Rhinolophus ferrumequinum: one gene and its partner. The protein of the gene in region 1 interacts with the protein of each later gene in a pairwise test. Links are inferred from orthologs where the notes say so. Each region holds a gene or a part of one and is shown on either strand. Other genes may lie near its edges.

What was found.
Region 2: the proteins of VENTX (region 1) and TBX15 interact in binary tests that used the Homo sapiens proteins (3 or more experiments, as listed by UniProt). The two-hybrid records come from large-scale screens. The link is inferred for Rhinolophus ferrumequinum from reciprocal best matches to the Homo sapiens genes VENTX and TBX15.

What each region holds. Positions count from the first base shown.
Region 1 is NC_046299.1:300,437-311,315, forward strand, and holds the start of VENTX (homeobox protein VENTX), read right to left. Parts: upstream 4,348-10,879; 5' UTR 4,343-4,347; intron 3,307-4,342; 5' UTR 3,266-3,306; intron 2,675-3,265; 5' UTR 2,595-2,674; coding exon 2,582-2,594; intron 339-2,581; coding exon 178-338; intron 94-177; coding exon 1-93. Other genes in the region: UTF1 (undifferentiated embryonic cell transcription factor 1), read right to left, coding at 10,497-10,879. UniProt on the Homo sapiens protein: May be involved in ventralization.
Region 2 is NC_046305.1:48,464,796-48,475,259, forward strand, and holds the start of TBX15 (T-box transcription factor TBX15), read right to left. Parts: upstream 4,712-10,464; 5' UTR 4,255-4,711; coding exon 4,050-4,254; intron 1-4,049. UniProt on the Homo sapiens protein: Probable transcriptional regulator involved in the development of the skeleton of the limb, vertebral column and head. Acts by controlling the number of mesenchymal precursor cells and chondrocytes.

The DNA of each region.
Region 1 (10,879 bases):
AGTGTAGAGAGCTCCAGGGAGAGGGGCGTTCGGCTGCGAGTCCTGAAGTTGGCGTTTGTGTTTCATCCGGCGATTCTGAAACCAGGTTTTTATCTGTGGGGTAAACAAGATCAGCGTGAGGGGGACAACAGACCATTGCCCTACCCCAGCGTGGCCCGTATGGCCCAGGGGCCTCACCTGCGCCTCGGACAGCTGCATCTTCTGGGCCAGCCTCCGGCGCTCCAGGGGGCCCAGGTAGCGCTGGTGCTGGAAGGAGCTCTCCAAGGTGCTGACCTGCTGGGCCGTGAAGGCTGTCCGGACACGCGGGGGCCGCGTGCTGTCCGCCTCCTTGCTCAACCCTGGGAGAGGACAGAAGGGCGCTGAATCCATTTGGCTACCGGTGCGGCCCACATGACCCGTGGCCCTCACTTGGCAGGTGCCAGAGCTCTGTGACTGCAGATGGCAGGCACAGAGATAAGAAATATGACTGGGGTGTCAGGAAGAGCAGACCGCCTTCCCTTGCCTCATTTTTAGAAACAGCCTCCACTGCTCTACAGTCCCACTAGGTGTTGGCACAACTGTCAGTCAAGGTGATAGCCCCACCTCCCAGACAAGTGTGGAATCTGGTCCGGAGACGTGGTTCAGGACACTGGCAGGGACGTCGCTATTGCAGAAGGATGACAGGGATGGAACAGCAGTTCTGGCACAGACCCTTCACCCGCTGCCCCAGAGCACCTGGTCCCTTCCTGAAGGGTGACCTCCACCAGCCCCACATCCACCCAGAAAGCAGTTTCTTTTGCCTGCAGACAAGGAACTCCCTTCACTCACCAGGTGAGGGCTGGGTGGCAGTGAGGTGGAACCCATTCGATGCAAAGGCCTGAGGGGCTGGGAAAGCAGCCTTGGTCACCATGAACCAGGCTGTCACGATCTACTGTGTGTCTGGTAAGTCTGCTTTTGAAATAGGAAGGCAGCTTCCTAGTGTTGAGTTAGTCAGAAAGGTCAGCTGCTGGAGCCGGGTGTTTCACAAATGTCGGCCCTCAGGTACCACCTGGGGGCCACCGATGGGCACGGAGCCTTGGCAGGCAAGCCATAAAGATCCGCATTAGCAGCAACAAGGGACTGTCCCTTTCACGGCACATGCGCAGTAAGGTCAACCATATCCCTAAAGTGACCTTTCCCTAATTTAAATATTAAAAATCACGCCCAGGTGTGGAAATTTACGATGCTAAAGAGAGGCACGCAGGCAGCGTGTAGCCGCACTGCGCAGGCGCCAAGAAACCCCGCCTCCACAGGCCTGTACACAGCCTTACCCCGCCCAGCTCCCTTCAGCCCGGCCCCAACTTCTCTCCGAGAGCCGCCGGAACCTTCCCTTTCTCGGTATTGGTTCCCTTGTGCACAAACTTAATAAACCTTTGCCTCTTGCCTGAAATTTCTTGTGGTAATCTCTCTGATTTCCATCCTGGGAAATCGCAAGAACCCCGGGCGCCGGTAACACTTTCTAATTTCTAAATGAGGAGATGAGGGATGGCACTAAGCACCCCCACGTGGTAAGGTCAGCCGGCGTGATGTCTTCACTTAACACAAGTCTGACCAAGATGCCTTCGGTTGTTTTAGGGGCAGCAGGTTTTACAATATTAGTTTTAACACTTACCTGGAAGTGTTCACCAGACAAGAGGCGCACACACTGCCTAAGGACGAGGGGCCGGGGTGCTGGAGCCTAAGCGGTCAGCATCAAGGGCTCTGATGCAGGGTGATTGGGTTTTGGAGGGGGCTACTGGTTGCAGAGAATAAATTTAAAAATTCACCTCATCAAAGTACAAAATTACTCCATAAAGATTATTTAAACTTTTTTAAAAATGAAAACTTAGATAACATCAACCCCCACTTCAACCATGCCTGTCTTTAAACCTAAACCAATGATTAAGTCACAAAGAGTAAAAAACAAACCGAGAAAGTGCCATCAGCAAACGACAAAGGGTCAGATAAGGCTTAGGAGCCACAGAGACTCCCAGAGATGAACGGGCCGAAGCCGGAGAAATTCACAAATTCACACATGCAGAAACGCAGAGGCTGTGGCTTCAGGCAGAGTCCTGGCTGCCCCTGAACCAAACCTGCAGGACTGCAGGCGGACTGTGGACTGGCCAAAGTCTAGATGCCAAACTGAGGTGCCAGCTTTGTGGGGGGGACCACAACCACCCCCATGACCTGGGCAGATGTCACAAGCTTTAAGGCATACTTATCTGCGACCTTGTGACACTTGTAGAAATGGGTCCAGGACTATTATGGACGCAAAAACCAAGCAAACAAAGGTGCTAACGTCAGTGTCCCCGTGGGGACCCAGGCGGCAGGCCTGGGTGGGGGCAGGGGGCCAGCCCCTCTAGGAGGAGGCTGGAGGAGCCCCAAGAGTGAGGAGGGAAACCCATTGTGGCTTGTGCTTCCGAGGGGAAGCTCACTTGCCAGAGGGTAAGGCGGGACCCCAACCCCGGCCCTTGGGTCCCTTGTCCCGCCCAAGCACACGGGATGTGGCAGGGGCATGTTCCCTTCTCTCCAACTTCCATCCCAATCTGGGAAGGAAGGGACCCCCCCACACTCCCAGACCTACCAGCTGTGGACATCCCTGGCACAGACGCTTCTGAGGACTTCAGCTCCTCCACGCCCACGGTCTGAGGGGCCTCCCAACTGCTGGACACCCTGGCTGGGACAGAGAGGTCCCCCCAGGAAACGTCACCAGGTCTGGAAGTGTGCAAGCGGCCCACATGGCTACTCTGGGAGAGCCAGTCCACACAGCCAAAGCTCGAGGTCTGCTTTCGGCTACCGGGCAGTGTGGAGGAAGGATGCATGACTGGATGGTGGGGGCCAGGCGTGGGGTCTGCTGTGGGTTGGGTGGCAGGCGGGGCGGGCTGAGCACTGGATCCGCCTCAGGTTTAGCAGGGCAGGGCTGCATTTATAAGCTCCAGAGAAGCGGGTGGGAGGTGGGTTTGCGTAGATGGCTCAAATCCCCCCAGATAAGTAGCATCTAATTGCCTTCAATTCAGAGGCACAAAGGAGGCCATTCACACCTCCCCCGGCTCCAAGATGTCTGGGGGAGGGGCGGGGCTGCGGTCAATGGTTAAGGGAGCTGTGGTGGCTGGGGACTTGTTACATCCTTTCATCTCTCCCCACCCCCACCAGGACTGGCCTAGGCAGCAGGAAGGTGAGGATGGCCCCCTCCCACCTCTGCTCCCAAGCTGGGGCCTTGTCCTGTGGGGTGCCAGACCATCTTCTCTCCCCTAGTTGGTTCTCCCACCTGCCCTGTGGGTCTGCAGTGCTGAGGTGACAACTGTGCAACTGAGAGAGAGGTCGCTTCAACTTGGGGGAGTCGGCATCCTGCTCTCAGGATGGGGTGGGTTCGACCAGTGTCTGCTGTGTCCAGGCTGCCTGGCTGGGCCGGAATGTAAGGCAGACATTCCTGGTAGGTGACTGCTACAAGCCAGGCATGGCAGGGAGGGTCTGCTCCAGGCTCCCACAGGCCCTTCTGTCTCGTCACTCCCAGCCCCTCTTCTGGGTTTCGTCCCGGTGCCACAAGTTGCCTCCAGATTTGGGTGACACAAAGGAGGAGGGAGGAGGAGGTCTGCTGGCTCAGGGCTGGGCCACCTCCCTGCGCTGTTCCCAGGAGGAATCCAGCAGGAAGGCCAACAGACTCACCACCTCTGGGACAGACTGTAACTCAGTTGCCACTTTTGTGACAGGGCACTATGGAGCCTGAGCTTCAGGGGAGTGCCTGGAGGTCACCCTGTCCCTGTGGCTGCTTCTCTCCTGAACTGGCCAGGTCCCGTCCAGGGCCCGGTACTCTGGGGGAGGCAGCAGGCTCAGCCGGGTGGACACCGTGCGGTGGTTGCCCCTCTAACCAGGCTGGTCCAGCCTCCTCTGGACCTCTATGCCAACCTTGGCCGACCACATCTGTCTCCTGGACAAGACCAGCACAAGCATACCGGGTGCAGTCGAGGCAAAAACCCACCGCCCGGATCTGAGCACCCCTAGAATGCCAGCTAGGAGTTCGCGTGCGTCCCCGGGGCCGGAGTCAGGTGCAGGCGCTGGTCCAGCCCCTGAGCCTATGCCGAGGCTTTGGTGCAGACGGTTGGGTCAGCAGCTTGGGCTCCTGGGGCGCCAGCGCCAGTCTGGGCCCAGCACCGACGACCACCCCCGCGCCCCCAGCCTGTGGAATCAAAGGGCCCGCGGGCCTCGCCCTGGGATTAACACCCCAGCCCCGCCTCCCCAGCCTCTCGGAAGGGACGGGCCAGGGATGTGGGAGCCGGACTACCACCGGCACAGCGGGAACCGGCCCGTGTTGGCCCGTGGTCTAGGTGAAAGGTCGGGGACTGACCGCAACGCCTCTGACTCTGACTGGGGTGTTCCTCCGGCCTCTGCACCGACCGCATTCGGTCACTGGACTCCGCGGGATGAAGCTAGGGATTTGAATCACTCGCCACGTGTCTCGCGGAGTGTGTGGTAAGAGCTGCAGCTTGCGATTAGCGGGGCGCCCCCCCTCACTGCGCGGGGCCCCGGACGCGGGTGTGGCAGGCTTCTGGCGCCAACACGACATGGACGTTCTGCTACCTGGGGACAGAGGCCCGTCCGGTGGGGGCCTGCGCAGAGCTCCTCCGGGGACAGACAGGTTGGGGGTGCCTCACAAACCTGGCAGAAGGAAGTATCCCCCAGGACAGCTCCACGTGCTCAGAACAGGCCTCTAGATAAAGAGCCACATTTCCTGGGATTGCCCAGCTATGCGCCCAAAGCTGTCATTTAGGAAATGTCGGCGTTCATGCGCACCGCTTCTGCACTTGGCATCTTTCCATTTCTAGTCTTTAGGGCCGGGCCTTTGGCCTCTCGACCACATACCCACACCTCCCGCAGCAACCCAATTGTGCTGCGCGACTTCCTGTCTAATCCCGGACTCTCTAGCGGCCCTCCGCCTTCACTTTCCCAGATTCCCGGCCCCCCCCACACACCTGAACACCTCTCCTGAGTCCAAAGGTGACGGCGCCTCTGCAGGTCAGATAGCCCCCCTCCTTCCGGAGTCCTCCCCTCCAGCTCCAGGCTGCTGGCCCCCTTCCTGCCCAGTGGTCCCTCCCTCATTCCCTTCAGCCCTGCCACGGGCTCCGGCACGCTGTCCTCTCACCTGACTGGCTCCCGTCCAGTGGGGTCTCCCGTCCCCTTCTGTAGTCTGGGTCCCTCCCTCTAACCCGGCTGTTCGAGACAGTGACAGCTGTCACCCATGCCCGGCCTCAGCTTCCTCAATGGGCTTAGGATCAGCTTTTGGGGCTGCCGGGACCTTGCCCTTCCCCTGGCTCTGGGACCCGCACTCCGGGTTTACTACTCCGCAGCAGCCCCTAGGCCGTCTTCCTGGGAGACCCCGTGATAGCATGCGGGCGTGGCCTGTGCTCTCGGCCGCGGGCCTCTATGTCGGGGCGACATACTCCCAAACCCTGCGCCTGCAGGCGACGGAGTCCCCTCCCACCTGTACCTGCGGGTGGCGGGGCCTAGAGTTGAACGGTGGACGCGCTCCCCACGCTCTCAGTGCCGTCTGTCACTCGGAGGCCCAGCAGTCCCGCCCCAACACGCTTCCAAGCTCACTCCTCCCACCACGGGATTTCCGGCGTCCCGCACCTGGCCCTGGGCGCCTGCAGTCTCCGGCCGTCCCATTCTCGCCGGCGCTCACTCCGTCCGCCAACCCCACCTCCACCGCGGATCACTCACGGGATCGGCTCCTCCCCCTCCGCTACGGCCACGCCCCTCCCTGCCGCCTTGCCCTTCACAGTCCCCTTGGACCCCTCCTCCTTGGGTCTCCCAACTGTTTGTTTGTGGAAAGATCCTAGGTGTGAGTGTGGGGGCAAGGTGGGCATGACCCCACCCTAGCTGGGTGAGTCTCAGGAGAGAGCACCTAGTGGGTGGAGGTGCGGGTGTCGAATTACTAAGGCTGCAGGTGTGATTAGGTAGATCCCCTCCCCCCAATCTGTAAAGGGTTGCCCCTGGGGACGGGCTCACTTCCGTCTACCTGTCGGCGTCTCCCTGTCCGTTGCGTGGGCGCCTCTCCCACGTCCCTCCTTTCTTATGGCGCCCAGGTCCCTCTCCCCAGGGTAGAGCCTCTTTGCCTGCTGCCGCCACAGGACACGTGGAGAGTGGGCCCTGCCCCCCTCTGCCCACCTCCATCCCGCCCTTGGAAGGATGGACTGGCAGCGGCAGGTGGGCGATGGGAAGGGCCTCACCACTCCCACAGGCGAGGCAAGGCGCCGGAGGCCAAACATGCTGTGGGAAGTGGGGGTTCCAGAGCTCTAGCAGAGGGACAAACGAGACGAGGAAGAAGTGCTGTTGGGGGGCGACCCATGGCAGGTCCCCCTAAGCCAGCTGCCAGCTTCCGGCTTAGGCCGGTGCTGCCAGCATAGTGCGTTGGAGCCACCCACTCAGGCCAGTGCTGGCTCTGCCCCGGAAAACACGCTCCTCTGAAGGAAAGGAGTGCGGAAGCGGAAGCGAACACACGTCTTTAAGGACCAGCTATGCTGGACGCCGTTTAAAGGCACAGTAATGGAATGTGTTCTTTTTAAAAAGGATGAACAGATAGACATGAGACCTGCCTGTACAACTGTGACGACAGCGACATCAGGCCTGAATCGCCTCAGGTCACTACTGGAAGGTCTCAGACTTTGGTGAAAGGAATGGGATTTGGCCATCGAATTAAATGTAAATTTAAAGGCAATATTCTGAAGATAGGACCTTAAACCAATGACAACACTAGAATAGAATAGAATTTTACGTAAGGACTAAATGTGGAATCAGGTCCATTGTATCTCTAACTGTCTTACAGACTGCTGACTGGTCCTAAATGATGTGTGTTCATAAGCTGATTTAAATTAATCTAGGTTTAAAAACCAGTTTCTCAGTCGCACTGGCCACGTTTCGAGCTCAATGACCACACGTGGCTGTGGCAATGGACAGTGCTGCTCCCGAATGGGTCTGTCCCAGGGTCTGCTGCAGTGTGCTGCTCCAGACACAAAGCATGCGTGTGCCCGGTGTTATCAGAATCAGCAGTGAACCAGACACCTCAGAAGACAGGAGACACTCGTGAAAACACATCTGCTCTGGTACCAGCCCTGAAGGGAACGGATGTGGGTGGGAGGCCCAAAGCCCCGGGTGCTTTGGGAGGGGGAAGGGAGAGGGGAGCTGGGCTCCAGCCCACTGGCTGCCCACACAGAAGCAAAGTGACCCCAGAGCGTGCTACTGCCACAGCCCCTCTCGATGGGACAAATGGTGACAAGAACCCAGGTGCGGTCTTGGTGTGGGCCTGACTGTCCTGAACACACAGTGGTGTGGCACAGAAAGGACACGGGATAAAGGGGAAAAACCAAGCCAGCCCATGTCTCTGAAGCTGCACCATGGTCACTGCTGGTCATCGAGCTGGTGAGGGACATCAGTGATGTGCACACTTCATGGGCCTCCACGCAGCACAGAAGAGAGTAAGGTTGTTGGTCACCAGGAATTAACACCAGGAAGTGAGAACCTGCTATAAAGATGAGCTAGATGGATCCACCAAACAACTGGATGGTGGGTGTCCAGTCATCAAGGGGGCAGCGAGCACTGTAACTGTACATGCCGTAAGACAGCCACCGAAGGGTGCCAGCGTCACCCACTAGGACAGCCACTGTCAAAAAGACAGAAAATACAGGCTGGGGAAACGTGGAGAGGTGGGCACCCTGTGCACTGTGGGCGGGATGTGAAACGGGGCAGCCGCGGGAAGGCAGTGTGGGGGCCTCAGAAAACCCAACACAGAGCTGCCAGGTGACCAGCACCCCCCTTCGGGGTGTTTGTCCAAGGCAACTGAGAGCAGGGCCTGGACAGGTACTTGCACCCACATTCACAGCAGCACGAGTTACATGGCCAAGAGGTGGGAGCTCTCCCTCCCCCTTACCTCCTCTCCGAAGCGCCAGGGGCCTTGGGCCTCCCACCGACATCCATTCCCTTCAGGGCTGGTACCAGAGCAGATGTGTTTTCATGTGTGTCTCCTGTCTTCTGAGTTGTCTGCTAATGGAAACATTACACAGCCTTCAAGAGGAATGACGTTCCGACAGGCCACCACAGAGGGACCCGGGGACATTGTGCACAGTGCAATAAGCCAGTCACCAAACGACAAGCACAGTGTGATTCCACTTAGGAGGATCTTAGGAGTCACATTCAGACAGGAAGTGGCGTGCGGATTCCCAGGGGGAGGGGCAGTGAGTGTCTAATGGAGACAGTTTCAGTGTGGGAAGATGGAGGTCTGGGATGATGGTGGTGACAGCTGCACATCACTGTGTGCTTGATGCACTTGAAAATGGGTAAGGCAGTGAACTGTATGTTGTGTATTTTACCACAATAAGAGAGAAAGGTATGAACCTGACCAGTGTCCCTTAGTGAGACGGAAGAGGCTTCTAATCTGAACACTGAAGAGTGGTCCCAGGAGGCCCTCCTGGAAACATTGCCCAGCACTCCTGGTCAGGCACAGGGAGATGTGTCAGAGCCAGGGACAACAGTGCCACCACGGTGTGTTCACCTCACGTGCTGAGACACGCCTATGGTGTCCAGTATGACAGAGCAGGACTGGGACACACCTTGCCCCACAGATGAGAGCTGCAGGCACAGGGAGTCTCTGGTAGGGCCAGTGAGAAGCAATTGGGGCTTCGCACAGCATCAGGAAGGGAAGTGGTAAAAATGGTAGAGAAACTTGCCGCGGCGCTGGGGCTGGGGCTGGGGCTGGGGCTGCGGCGGGCGTAGGGCACTGCACAGCCCCCATCTCTCCCCTGCAGACCTGTAGCTGTCCAGGAAGGAGTGTGCGGATTCATTACCCCAATGGGGCGCCCCAGGAAGAAGCCGGGGACACAGCCCCTAGTCGACGTGGCAGGAAGGCAGATGGATTTTCTTTGGTGTCCTCAGATACCTCACACTTGATGCCTTAGGTGGTTTCTTTCCGTCCTCAAAACAGCCCTTTTGAGGGCCAAGGGTTCCCGGTGACGTGATGGGCACACCAATGCCAGTCCCCACCCCTGGGGATTGCGGGTTTGCTGGGATGAGGTCTGCTGTCTCAGACCCCCGACCTGCGGCTCTGACATTCCAGGTTGTGTGGGGGGTGGGGAGATGTTTGTAAACTGGCTTTGGGCAGCTCTGAGATACACGGGACTTCAGCAGACAGCCTCAGTGTGTCGTAAGAGGTGACACTTGGAGTCAGTTTTTTGGGTTTGGTCTCTCCCAGAGCCCTCAGGTCCTGCCATCAACACACAGCTGAAGGGCAGGCTCAGCTAGGTCTGGAGAGAGCGCCCTGGCCCCCATGGGGGACTTTGCAGGCAGAGGGTCCAACTGGGGTCGCTTCACCCACAGATCCCGAAAAGGGCCTGGGGGAGGGGCTGCAACCCACTGGCTGCTGAGGCCTCAGGAAGGTTGGAACCAGAGGGCCAGGGAGGGAGGGCCCATCCCTTACTGAGCCCATGGCCCAGGGCAATCACTTAAGTCCCTCTGAATGAGCCCCTAGTTGGTGAAATGGGCCCCTCCCACTCGACCCCGGCTTGTATTGTTATGCTGGTGAGGCGCCTCAGGCTACTTCCTCCCTCCACCTGGGGAGGGGTCCCACAAGCCCCACCCAGTTCCCTCTCAGCCAGACCCACAGGTCGGGGTGGGGCCCTCAATTACGATTTGAAAAATGCTACCCGAGTGATTTTGGTAGTCTTAAAATTACAGGGGCCCTGGCCTCAGCCAAAGTCTAAAGTCTCAGACGCCCAAGCCCCTAACACCCTGGCCCATCCAGGTCAGTCACCTCCCTGGGGACAGAACCAGCCCCTTCCCTACGTGCGCCTTAGCTCTCCTGCCTGTGTGTTCCAGACCTCTGAGTCCCGTTGCCCAGACTCAGCTCAGGACAGCGGCCGGGAGTTGGTCTGGCCAAGGTGAGACTTTGGGAACACCCTACCTGCGCAGCGCTGGGCGCCTATGGTGGGGGCCAGAGACAGCTCACACCTCCCCCATAGAATTAGGCAGACCTGGGCCACCCATTCCCAGCCCCCCATTCTGCTGGTGGAGCCCAGCGCTCCCTTGTACCACTCAGCAGGGCTGCGTGAAAGGGTGGAGTTAGTGCTTGCCTGCCCCGCCCCCGTGGCTGGTCTGTGTTGGCCGGCGAGTTTGGTAAGATCTGGAAGACCCCAATATCTCAGGTTCCAGGGGCCAAGAGGCTCCTCCCCCTGGAGACTGGTCTCCTTGGGAAAGCCCTGGTTACCATCCCACCCGGACAACAGGCCACCCGGTACTCTCAGCCCCACCTTAGGAACCCAGGCCATTTTAACCGGCTCCGACCTCTGCGGGCCTTACCTGCAGGGGGATGTTCTTACCTAAGGGGCCCTGCACACATTCACCGGATTAAATCGCGAAAAACAACCTTTTTATTGAACGTACCTAGGTGTGGGGGAGGGCAGCGGGACGGGGTCAGGGCCGAGGGGGGCGTGGCGCTACGGAAGGGACAGGCCTCACTCACGCCGGTCCGCCAGGACGCCCCGCTCAGCGGCGGCGCTGCCCAGGATGAAGCCCACCGCCAGGGACACGGTCTGGTCGAAGGAGCCGCGCAGCTGCTCCACGTGCTGGTTCAGGGTCAGCAACTGGTCGCGCAGCGGGCCCAGGATGGCCACGATGTCGCCCAGGTGCCCCAGGGTTTGCAGGAGGGCGGCGTTCAGCGACGGGGGCGCGGACTGTGGAGGCGCTTGATTCTCTGGGCGGCCAGGCGGCGAGTCGGAGTCTTCCCAGGCGGCGTCGGAGAGCGGCGGCGGCGGCGGGGAGTCGGGGCCGTGGGAAGGCGCGTGATCCTCTGGGCGACCGGGAGCGGGGGTAAAGGTGGGGAGCGTCGTCGGGGAGC
Region 2 (10,464 bases), on another chromosome or scaffold:
GGCAGCCACTGCCAAGGCCGTTTGGACCTAGCAGGCGGGAGCCCTGGGTTCGTCTGCGGGGCTCAGGCCCCGCACCCTCGAACCCTACACGGGTGCAGGGACGCCCATACCACCGGGGAACCAGAGTTCCTCACCCGGGACTCTATCCGGGGCAAACCCCTGGGCGTCGCGCCCCGCGTGCCACACACCCTTGCACTGCGGTCCCAGCCCTGACCTGCGCCCAGGTTGGTGCTTGCCCCGAACAAGCACATTCTCTCTACTGGCTTCGAATTCACCAATTTTTTCTCCATTACTTAAACGTCAGGGAAGAGAGTCACTTCCTCCGTTTTGACCCTGTGTTTCCCTATTGGGGGTTGGGGATAAGTGGAGGAGTGGTTGGGGATTCAAATCTTGGGGCTCTACTCGGAGCAAACAAGCCATAAACTGGCATATTAATTCTCGTGACCAGATGATCTCGACAATTTGAAAGAAAGTGCCCTGGGGCACTGAGAGAGCTTTTCTGGTGACATTTCACTAGGGGTTGCGCAGACAGACGTGTGCACGGGGCAATGTGAGTGCCTGACGTGTGTGCACGTGTGCGCTGAGTGGCGATCTACCCGCGCGTTCTTGTGTGCGCGGCTTTGTGTGCCCACCCGCGTGCATCGCCAGCGCCTAGGCCGCCTGAGCGCGGCGGATGCAAGGCTCAAGCCCGCGGGTTCTGGAGGGGGAAATCACCCCCCGCAGAAGGTTTAAATTATTTCTCTCTGCGGGAGACCCGGCCTCGGCAGCCCTCGGCTGTGGATTTGGGCGGGAAAGGCCCAAACCCGAGCTGGGGAGCCGGGTGGAGCAGGGGTTGCGGTGCAAGCGACGATGGCGCCGCCGCGTGCCTGAAATATACTTCCAAGCCGCCGCAGCCGGAGCAGCTGTTCCCGGCGAAAATTTCCTCTGTTGCTGCTGGGGGATTGGCGGGGGCGAACAGGCCAGAGAGCCAGGTTCTTCCGAGATGAGTTTTGAGACCCTCCCCAGCCCTCAGCGGCCGAGTCCTGGCGGCTTCTCCAAAAGGCCCGGGAGTAATGAGAGTACCTCGCAGGCCCTTCTCCAAGGCCCTAACGGCCTCCGGGGGTTTTCGGGACCACTAGGCTCCGTGGAAATTTTTGAAATACATACTGTGTGTCCTCTGCTGTGTGTGCCTACAACGCGCAGGCCGGGCTGGTCCCCCGCTGCCGCAGGTTGGTGCCCCAGGCTGCGAGCGCTCGGCGCCAACTAAAGCCAGCTCTATCCGGACGCGGAAAGAAAAACGGGCTGCGAAAAAGCAAAAGGCCACGTCTTTGAATAAAAGTGAAATTAATTCGGACCCTTGGTTTGTCTGAGGATCCCGAGATTTTGAGGCTCGGACAGGGAGGATGGAAAACGATGGTACCAATCAGAGAGAGGGGATGGTACCAGATGGTATCAAAGAATGACAAGTAACAGTCTGCTGGGCAAGTGTCCTGCGTATGGGCACGCGCGTTTAATCCTTCCCCAGCTCTGTGGAAATTTTGCTTTTGTTGTGTTTTGGTTTTGTTTTCTGTTCCTGACTATTTATCGGCCTAGGGCGCTTGAGCCAGGCAGCCGGTCCAGCCCTCCTCCGTCCTAATCGGGAGAAGAGAGTTTAAACAAAATTGTGAGGCCCAGCAGCAGGGCAAAGACGTGGCCCGGTCACAATGGAGTCGCCAGTGCCCCATCTCCCACCTCCACCACCATATACACACCTTTAAATGTGGCTCTGTGTGTGTGTGTGTGTGTGTGTGTGTGTGTGTGTGCAGGCGCGCGTCTGGGCGCTGTATGAGAGACAAAAAGAAAGGCCTACAGGGGACCCGAAGCCCTGGCCGTGCCTTCCGCTATCACCCGGGCGCAGCCGGGGCCGCAGCTCCGCCTCCTCCGCTCCTCGGACTGCCGAGTCTCCACGCCGCGCGCGAGCCCTTTTTCTGAAAGATCTTTCCTTATCCCACGTCCGGTTTCTAAGAAAGCCTTGGCCACTGCGGGTCTCCAACTTGGAGATCTCCAAGGGGACCAGATCTCCAAGTTGGAGTCCCGGCGGCCCACGACGCAGCCAGTCTCCGCCCGGAGCCCCGCTCCGCAGAAGGACCGCGAGTACTCTCGGTTTCCGGCTTCTTCTTCCTCCCGGACCTTTGCCTCACAGACATATTTCGTTTTCTCTAAATCCAAACGCCCATCTTTTTCTTTTTTGAAAACGTGATAAAGGTAGTGGGAACTGTTAGTAAAGTGCGATGTTAGGTCGTCACCCTCTACCCCCATCCCGCGGGAGCTGCGGGAGCGAGGGAACCGCATTCTGGACACCAGGTCCTCACGTTCACGTCCCCGGACTGGTCTCTCCTTGCCCCAAGCCCTCACTTTTCTCCCCTCGCTGATGGCTGAGAACGGCGGAAAGAAAACTTCGAGCTGAGTCTCTGATTATGACCCCGCCGGATTATGTTGGTCCTTTTGAACATGCGACCCTAGGCCGGCTCCGGGCGACCTGGCCCCACTCCCTAGAGAAAATTACCCGGAACGGGGCGTCTGCCACGCGCAGTTAAATAACTTCTGCCTTTTCCACTGTCGGAAAAGTAAAATAAACTAACCTCCCAAGTTGTCGTAAGGCCTGAAAGAACTTCCACTAAACTGTGTGAAGGCCCAAGCGAGATTTTGACAACAAATAAATGCGGTGAGGAAATAGGGTCTGGCCAGAGATTACACATTAGCCACACGTTCCTTTCTGGATTGCCCACACAGGGTTCCGCGTGGACAGGCACCCGTGTCCAAGTACAGGGGAAGACTTGAGTGGGCGAAATAAATCTCCTTTTCATTTTCTTTTCATCGACTAATAAAAATAATTCCCCAGCACTAAACCCAAATACCATAACGGGCCACGAGAACACGGAGAATTCATAAAACTCGGTCTCTGCAGGTCACCCGCTAATCGCGTTATTATTAGCCTCAGGAGCATGGAAATTGAACTGTCACTGCCGAAAGAGAGAATGTAAGCGACAGCTGTCCCTCCTGTGGACGGCCAGTTTTCCAGCCCCCAAGCTCCTGGGCCCACAGCTTCCCCCATCCTGTGAGGGCCGGCTCGCTGACCCTGGTTTACTCCCCAGCCCTAGCCGGGTCAGAAGGAGCACCTCCAGAATAGTTTTAGAAGTCCTGGCTGGAACGTTTCTGAAGTTGCGAACGTTGCGTGTGTGTATGAGGGTGAGCGCCCGAGCAGGATTCTTCCGACCACAGCTGTTCCCCGGGGCTGTTTTGCACAGTTGAAATCTTGGCACCTAATACAAAACGTTAAGTTGTCCCCCACCCCCAGGATTCTGTTCAAATACAGACATTGACACCCGCCCCATGTTTTACGTGTTGTGTGCGTGTAATGTGCACAGATCCGAGACACAAATTAATCGTACCTCTATTCCCAAATACACAGAGGTGTGTGTGGGCCGTGAAGAGTGACCCAGGGCGCAGGGTAAAGGGGTCTGACATACGTTCCTCTTTCCATAAACGCCAACAACGTAGAAATATAATTATGCCCTCTCCTCACAGAGGAGGGAAAATTCAACAACTTGAGTCCCAGAACAGTCGGGGGGGGGGGGCCGGAGGCGAGGGCCTATGTTGAAACCTAAATGGGATAAACCGGGCATTTCCCGAAACGAAGGTGTCAAGCCAAGAATTCCGCGCCGGGTGTGCTGAGCTCTCAGAAGCGAGTCCCAGCCCCTAGGCGCTCCGGTCCTTGCCTGCGATCGGCGCCCCTCCTAAACCTAGGGCCCTGCAGCCCCACAGCTCTGGGCACCAGGAACACTGAGCTCTGCTCCCAGAGGAGGAGATGCGAGCAGGGAGGCCTCCTTGCTTGAGGATGGCGACGAGAATGCAAGGCGTAGGCCAGTGCCCTCAAATTGGTTCCGGCGAATTTGGGGGAGGCTCAAGGCATTTGCGCAAAAAGGAACCCGCGTTGGAGCGGGGCAGGGCGTCAGCGGCCAGGGCCTCCCTCCTCACCACTGCCCGCCGGCTGGCCGCCCGCCTCCCGCGGTCTGGCCCTATGCACTCACCCGGGTGAGGCTCCAGGCCGTGTGCGGCCGCGTCCTCGGTGTCTCCGAGTGGGCCCGCGGGGCTCAGCGCCTCCATGGACAGGTCCAGCCCCTTCTCCTCCCAGTCTCGCAGTTTCCGCTTTTTATTTGAGCCGATCAAGGCTTCAACGGAGAAGGCATGTGCTCGCGAGCTCAGGGCGACTGCAGATCTTCTCCTTTCACTCATCTTAGCCGCCCGCACCCGGGTCCCCGCTCGCCCCGCTACTGAGGGAGCAGCCCGCGCCCTCACGCTCCGAGCGCCCGCCGGGCCGGGCCCGGGAAAGGCGGCGGCTCAGCGGGTCCTCTGCACCTCCCCCTGAGCCCTCCCCCGCCCTCCGCCGCCGGCTGGGACCGGCGCCCCTAGCTGCCCCTGCGGCTACGAATGAGCGCCGGGAGCAACGCCGGCTCGCTGCATGAGCGCCCGCGTCCTGCTTCCCACCCACCCGGGCAGGCGCTCACAGGCTATACAGACTGGACTTCATCTTTTTTTATTCTCTCTCTCTCCTCCCTCTCCCTTTCTCTCCTCCCTCTCCCTCTTCCTCTCTTGGTCTTCCCGTCCTTCCTCTGATCCAAACTTCTGGGAAACTTTTTTTCTAAATTCCTCCCTTCCCGAGGAGCTGGGGGCAGGCGGTGCGCTCCTGTCCGTGGGGCGAGGGAGAGGGAGGGGGAGGAAGAGAAAGACTGAGGGGGAAAAAAGCCAGCCCCCGACCAATGGCGAGGAAGGAACAGGAGAAACCCTGAGAGCGCGGACCAATGAGCAGAGGGGAGAGACTGAGGCTCGGGCCAGGGCTCAGAGCCCGTCGGCTCGGGGTGCTCCTGGGCCAGCTTTAACCCCTGGCTTCCCGGTGTCCCGTGGGTTCGCCCTGGGGGGGAGGGGGGCGCCGAAATCGAGGTCGAGGTGTGCCGTTACAAACTCCTACCAGCCCCAAATCCGTACCTTTTCCTCCCAAATCCGCTAGGTCTCACAGATGCTCCAAGCCCAGAGTCATTTGAATTACAGATCTGGAATCTGGGGGCTCGGACAAAATGTCAACCTGTCCAAAACACCAGAAAACTACTCTGATCATCTCGCGCCTGTCCCCAGATGCTTTGAGATCTGCTGGTTCCACGCGGATTTCGTCACACAGGTTCTTATTTTCCTGTTGCAGGATTTCTTAACAACTCTGGTTAACGCAAAACGAAAGAAACAAACCAAAAAAAGCCCCATCACTATCCAGAATCTTGTAATTCAAAATCTAACGATTGTTTCCTCCTTCCAGCTCTACCTGGTGGAGAAGGAGACGTAGGCCCCTCAAAGCCGGAGGCCGCCGGTGGAGCGCCGGGCTTACCGCGCGCTCGGCAGGCGGATGCCGACTGGGCCCGCAAGCAGCAAATGCTGCCCTTCCCTTCCTTCCGCGCGGATGCTGAGCCGAGCTGCGCCCGCTCGGGGCGCTTGTTCTGGAGAACCCTCGGCGACCGGCTGGGCGAGAGCAACCAGGAACTTGGACAGAGTAGAAGAAGCTTTTTCAAAATTCCCTTCGAATCGATCACCTCGGGAGCCCGGCTCTCCCCGCCCCACTGATCCTCCCTCTAGGCTTTAAAAAAAAAAAAATCAAGACAGTGCGGTCGCCAGAGATTTCTAAAGGACTCAAAATCCAACACTTCTGGCCATTCTGATTTCCCATACCCCTTCCCAGGTTGCACTACTGGTCGCGGGCCGCACGACACCCGGGCCCAGCCCAGAGCAAGTTCAGAGGGGCCGAGAAGTGGATCCTACCGAGCTGGGAAAAGCTCTCGGGTTTCATGGACCACGGCCTCGCCACAGACTGATCGTCCCGTCCCAACGCCCTGGTCCAGACGCTTCTATCCCTGAGCAAAGGGGCAGGAAAGAGCCAGCTCCTGGGTGTCAGTGACCGACGAGAGGCCCAGCAGACAAGTCTCGCGGAGAGCCAGGCCTTAGCCAGCCTAGGGCAGAGGGGCCCAAGAGGCGTGTCACGGACCCCCCTAGAAGGAGCGTCCAGCGGTCCTCCCACCCTGGGGCAAGAAGGGAGGGCCTGTGAGGCCTCAAAAATGTCACATTCCCCTCCTGACCACTGACGGACCTGGGAAAATCCAGTCCTTGCTGTTGTAGTTGGAAGTACTCTAGTCCTGGAGGCAACAGTCAAGGGTGGTGCATGTACTTGGGCCTCTTAGGAGGAGAGCAAAAACAGAAAAGCCACTTTTGTAGGCCCCTCATATTGGGCTCCAGCCGCTAGGACAAGAAGCTAGCAGCCCAGCAAATGCAGAAAGAATAATGGAAAGACTCCTGGATAAGTGTGTTCCAGCCGGGCTCGGCCTCCTGGGCCTTCCAGGAGCCTGCCTCTCAGGCTTGGGGGTCCCCAAGAACCCTGGGATCTGGAAGTGGCCTGCTGAGCCCCTCCGCACCTCCCGCCACACTGCCTAGCAAACTGCGGGCACCAGGGTGACATGGTGCCATGACTCCCACCTCAGTCACCACTGGGTATTGCTTCCCGGAGCCGCTGCCCACGGTGACCACGCATTCACAAGCATGAGGCTTCAGCAAAGGAGCTGGAGACATGGCCAGCCAGGGGCACAGTTACCTTCCCCGCTGCTCAGACCTCTCTTTCAGCTCCCAGTGGTGGTGTCACTGCCTGCGCTGGAGCCTTCCCGGACCAGGCCCAGCAGGGTAGCGAGGGGGCTGGCCTCTGTCCTTTCTCAGCGTTTTCCTCCTCCCCCGTAGCCTGTCTCTTGCATCTCCCTCTGGCAGCCACTTGCGTTGGCCTTCTCGCACATACCTGGTTTGGATTGAACAGTAGACGCACCATAGGCCACACACCCTCCCTGAGGCCATGCAAGTTTCTCAGATAGAGGACCTACATGCAGACCCAGAAGGCCTGCACTTCCTAGGTGTCGGTAGACCTACAAAGAGAAGTGAGCAAAGCCTTCAAGGGCGGACATCTGCACCTCACCCCAAGCATGTGCTCAGCAGAGAGTACTTGGAGGAGCGCCTGCTCCCTTCCTACAGGTTACACAGAGGTTGTCGCCACCCTCATCCTGTACCTACACATATCCTAGAAAAGTAGGTTAGGCCATTAGGACAAATCGGACGTTAACGAAGCCAGGCTGGTTCAGAACAGTTGTGAAAATAGGACATTTTCTTTTTTGTGACTAGAGGTCAATCTGCATTGTTTTCCCCCAGTGACCTGCACTCCTTGGTGTGGGCCTGTGCTGAAGGGAAGGAGGTCTGGAGAAAGATTAAGCAGGAGGGTTTAATGTCTGTGACTTTGGTGTGTAATTTTATGCAATTGGGGAGAAGAAGAAAAAGAGGGTTGGGGGAATTAAATGTAAGAATCTGGGAGTATGGGATGCATTTTCCTTCCACTTATTACATCAAAAGGCTTTCAAAATCTCCTGTTACGCCAGTTTATCTCTCCTTTAGCTTTCAGGACTAAGAGTGGGGTCCCCCACTTATGAGGCTAATTCCTGAGGCAATCCCCAGGTTTGCCAGCCACAGCCTAGGATCCTGGGCGACATGTGGAGGTGGTGCAAGCATTTAAGGTCTATTCCAGCCCCGAAGCTGATTGACAAGGATCAAGCTGGAGGCCCCGCCTTACCCCCTGCAGGACCCCCGCCCCCACCCAAGTGATTTTTAAGCACCTGAGAAGTCAGGGGGGATCTGGGAGGCGGGAGGGGGAGAAGAGGAACTCACTGACCACCTGTAGGGACATCAGGGGATTGAGTGGCCACGCCTAGCCTCCACCAGCTGGAAAGCCAAGAAAGGAAGGCTGGCACAGTGACTGCTCACCTAAAACTGGCCATGACCGTGTCTTAATTTTCCTAAGACGAGACAGTTCTGCAGCCTAGGAACAAGCGCCCTAGAAAGGGGTCCCTAGGTACGCTCCACATATCTGTCCTTTCCTTCTGTTTTTCCACACTAACCACCTGAAATACCACCACTGCCAATACCCCAACACTTAGGGAATCCCCCAAACGCTGTGATTTTGCAGCTTCGAGTAACTGAAAACAATGTTTAAAATAGTAGTTGGTTGACCAGCAGGTCGTGTTAGGCCGCCCTTGAACACGCAGGCAGGACACCCGGTGGGGGGCTTAGGAATGACAACGAATTTGGCCTGACCAGGCAGGTACATAACATGATGAGACGACTACAGTGTGGGAGGAAACACTGGGGAGTCCAAGGCAGGTGGAGCCTGGCAACCAGGTCCCTGTCCACTCTAAACTGTGACCTCAGGCGAATCAGTTCATGGCCTGTGCCTCAGTTTCCCTGTCCGCAGGATGAAGGGGTCCTAAATATTTTATAACCGAGGGAGCAAGGCAGACAAGATAATCGGTGGGAGGCTGGACAGACTTGAGGTCTTAGTATCGCTGTGATCGAATCTTCGGGGAATGTGAGGCCAACGTACCCACTTTTCACTTCTTTTCCCAAATTGGCGCCCGGTTATGGGGCGGCTTAACTGGCCTGGAGCCCTCGGGTGGGCGTGGGAGGGAGCTGATTTCTGGAAACGCCTGCGCAATACCAGCCCGCGGGTCCACTCCTGTAGACCGTATCTCGAGTCGCCGGGAGCTGCGGGACCGTCGTGCGTCGTTGACTATTCAACCACCCCCTCACACTTTAAAAAAATAAAAGTCCGTGGGGGCGAAAGGGTCTTTAATGATGTTTTCTTGTTTTCGCGAAATAAAATCTTTTGTTTTTATTTTAAACCAGCAGCGTGCCCTCCTCTCGGTCCTTCCAGATGTTTGCAATAAAATCGCAGGTTTTGCCTTTGGGACTGGAAATAAAATTTAACGGCCTTCACTCTGTAATTATTCTCTTAGCTCGCCCTTCATAAATTTATCTGCTTTCTATCGGCGTTGGGGTAGGGGGCGAGCGAAAGGGGAGAAAGCCCCGATTTTATATTTGTGACTATAAAAAAGCGCCACCCGGTTTCCTGGCCTTCGGCGGCCGCGGTGTAGCCCGAAAAGCCTGGCCGGGCGGGCGGCAACATTGCGCTATTGTTCGCTGACTCGGGTCTGCCCAGGAGCCGGGCCCTCCACAAAGGGGGCCTTGTGCGGCCAGGCCCGGAGCGGCTGCGCCCAGGAGGCGAGGAAATCCTGTTCCCCCAGGCCCAGCTCCTCTCTTCCCTGTGCAACCCGGCCGCCTGACCTTGGCCCTTCGGTGTGCGCCTTTGGCGCCGGGCGCCAGCCGGGGCTCTGCCAGCCTTCGCAGGAAGCGAAACCTCCAGCCAGCGCCGAGCCCACTGAGCGCGAAGGAGGAGCTCGCCCCAGGATACCCAGGCGCTCCGGAAAGGCCAGCCTGAGGCTCCAGGCCAGAGGACTCACTGGAAGGCCCCCCCAAGGAAGGCCCCTCTCCTTGGCTTGGCCTGGTCTGGGCTGCAGGGGAACATTCGACACCCACCGGAGCACAGGGTTGCTTGGCAACCCCAGGCAACTCAACCCAAAGTCAACGGATTTTGACGCCACCAGCGTGACCCCACTCCGGAAATAAATGTGGGTACATCAGTAACTACTATATACTTGTGTAGGAAGCTTAGAAGTACAAGGTCGGTGCACGTATTTTGGGTGACTGCACAAAGCAACAGTGTACGTAGCCAGCAGCACACACATGCACGTGCACACCATGTACAGCTACGCGCGGTACTCGCACACCTTTCTAGAAGCAGACATGCATGTAGAAACAACACATGCTCGGGTACACAGAGTCACACTCAGGCATGTGGGGACATATCCTGGCCACACACTCAACTGGCCCCCAAACCTGCAGGAATCTATGTGTGCATTCGGCAACGTGCTGCGTGCCCTCCACCCCGGACTCCTCCACACCCTGGCCTCTCCCTGGCAGGAAGCTTAACCCATGTGGCTGTCCCGTCACCTCCTCTCCTTCATCTACACAGGGCTACCTGCGTGGTCAAGGTCACTTAGGTGACAAAAGAAAGGAAACATGCTAAGCTCCCAGCCTTGAGCCCTCACCCCTTGAGAGAGCCACCCAGTACCTGAGCAAGGCCAGGGTGTTCTCCAAAGATGGGGAGACCCAGCAGGGTCTGGCAGACTGGGCAGGGATAAATAGTGGCGCCAAGCAGGAGCAGCCGGGTTTTGTCCTGTTTTGCTTTTAAGGGCATGCAGCCCCTTCCACCCTCCAGCCAGCCCGCCTCTGGCCAGAAAGCCAACCCCTTGGAGGCAGAGCTTTCCTAGGCAGGGCATTCTTTGGAGTTCTTTCGATACCAGAATCCCAGCTCCTCCAGGTTTGCTCCCTAAATGTGACTCTATCTCCTGTTGGGTTTGCAGGTGCTTGGCTAAGCAAGGTTAAGAGCTCCATTTGGTCTTTCCCCTGAAAGGAAGGATTATCTAAAGTTTATGGGGGTGAAGAGGGGGAAGCACCAGGCCCCACAGTCTAACAGCCAGC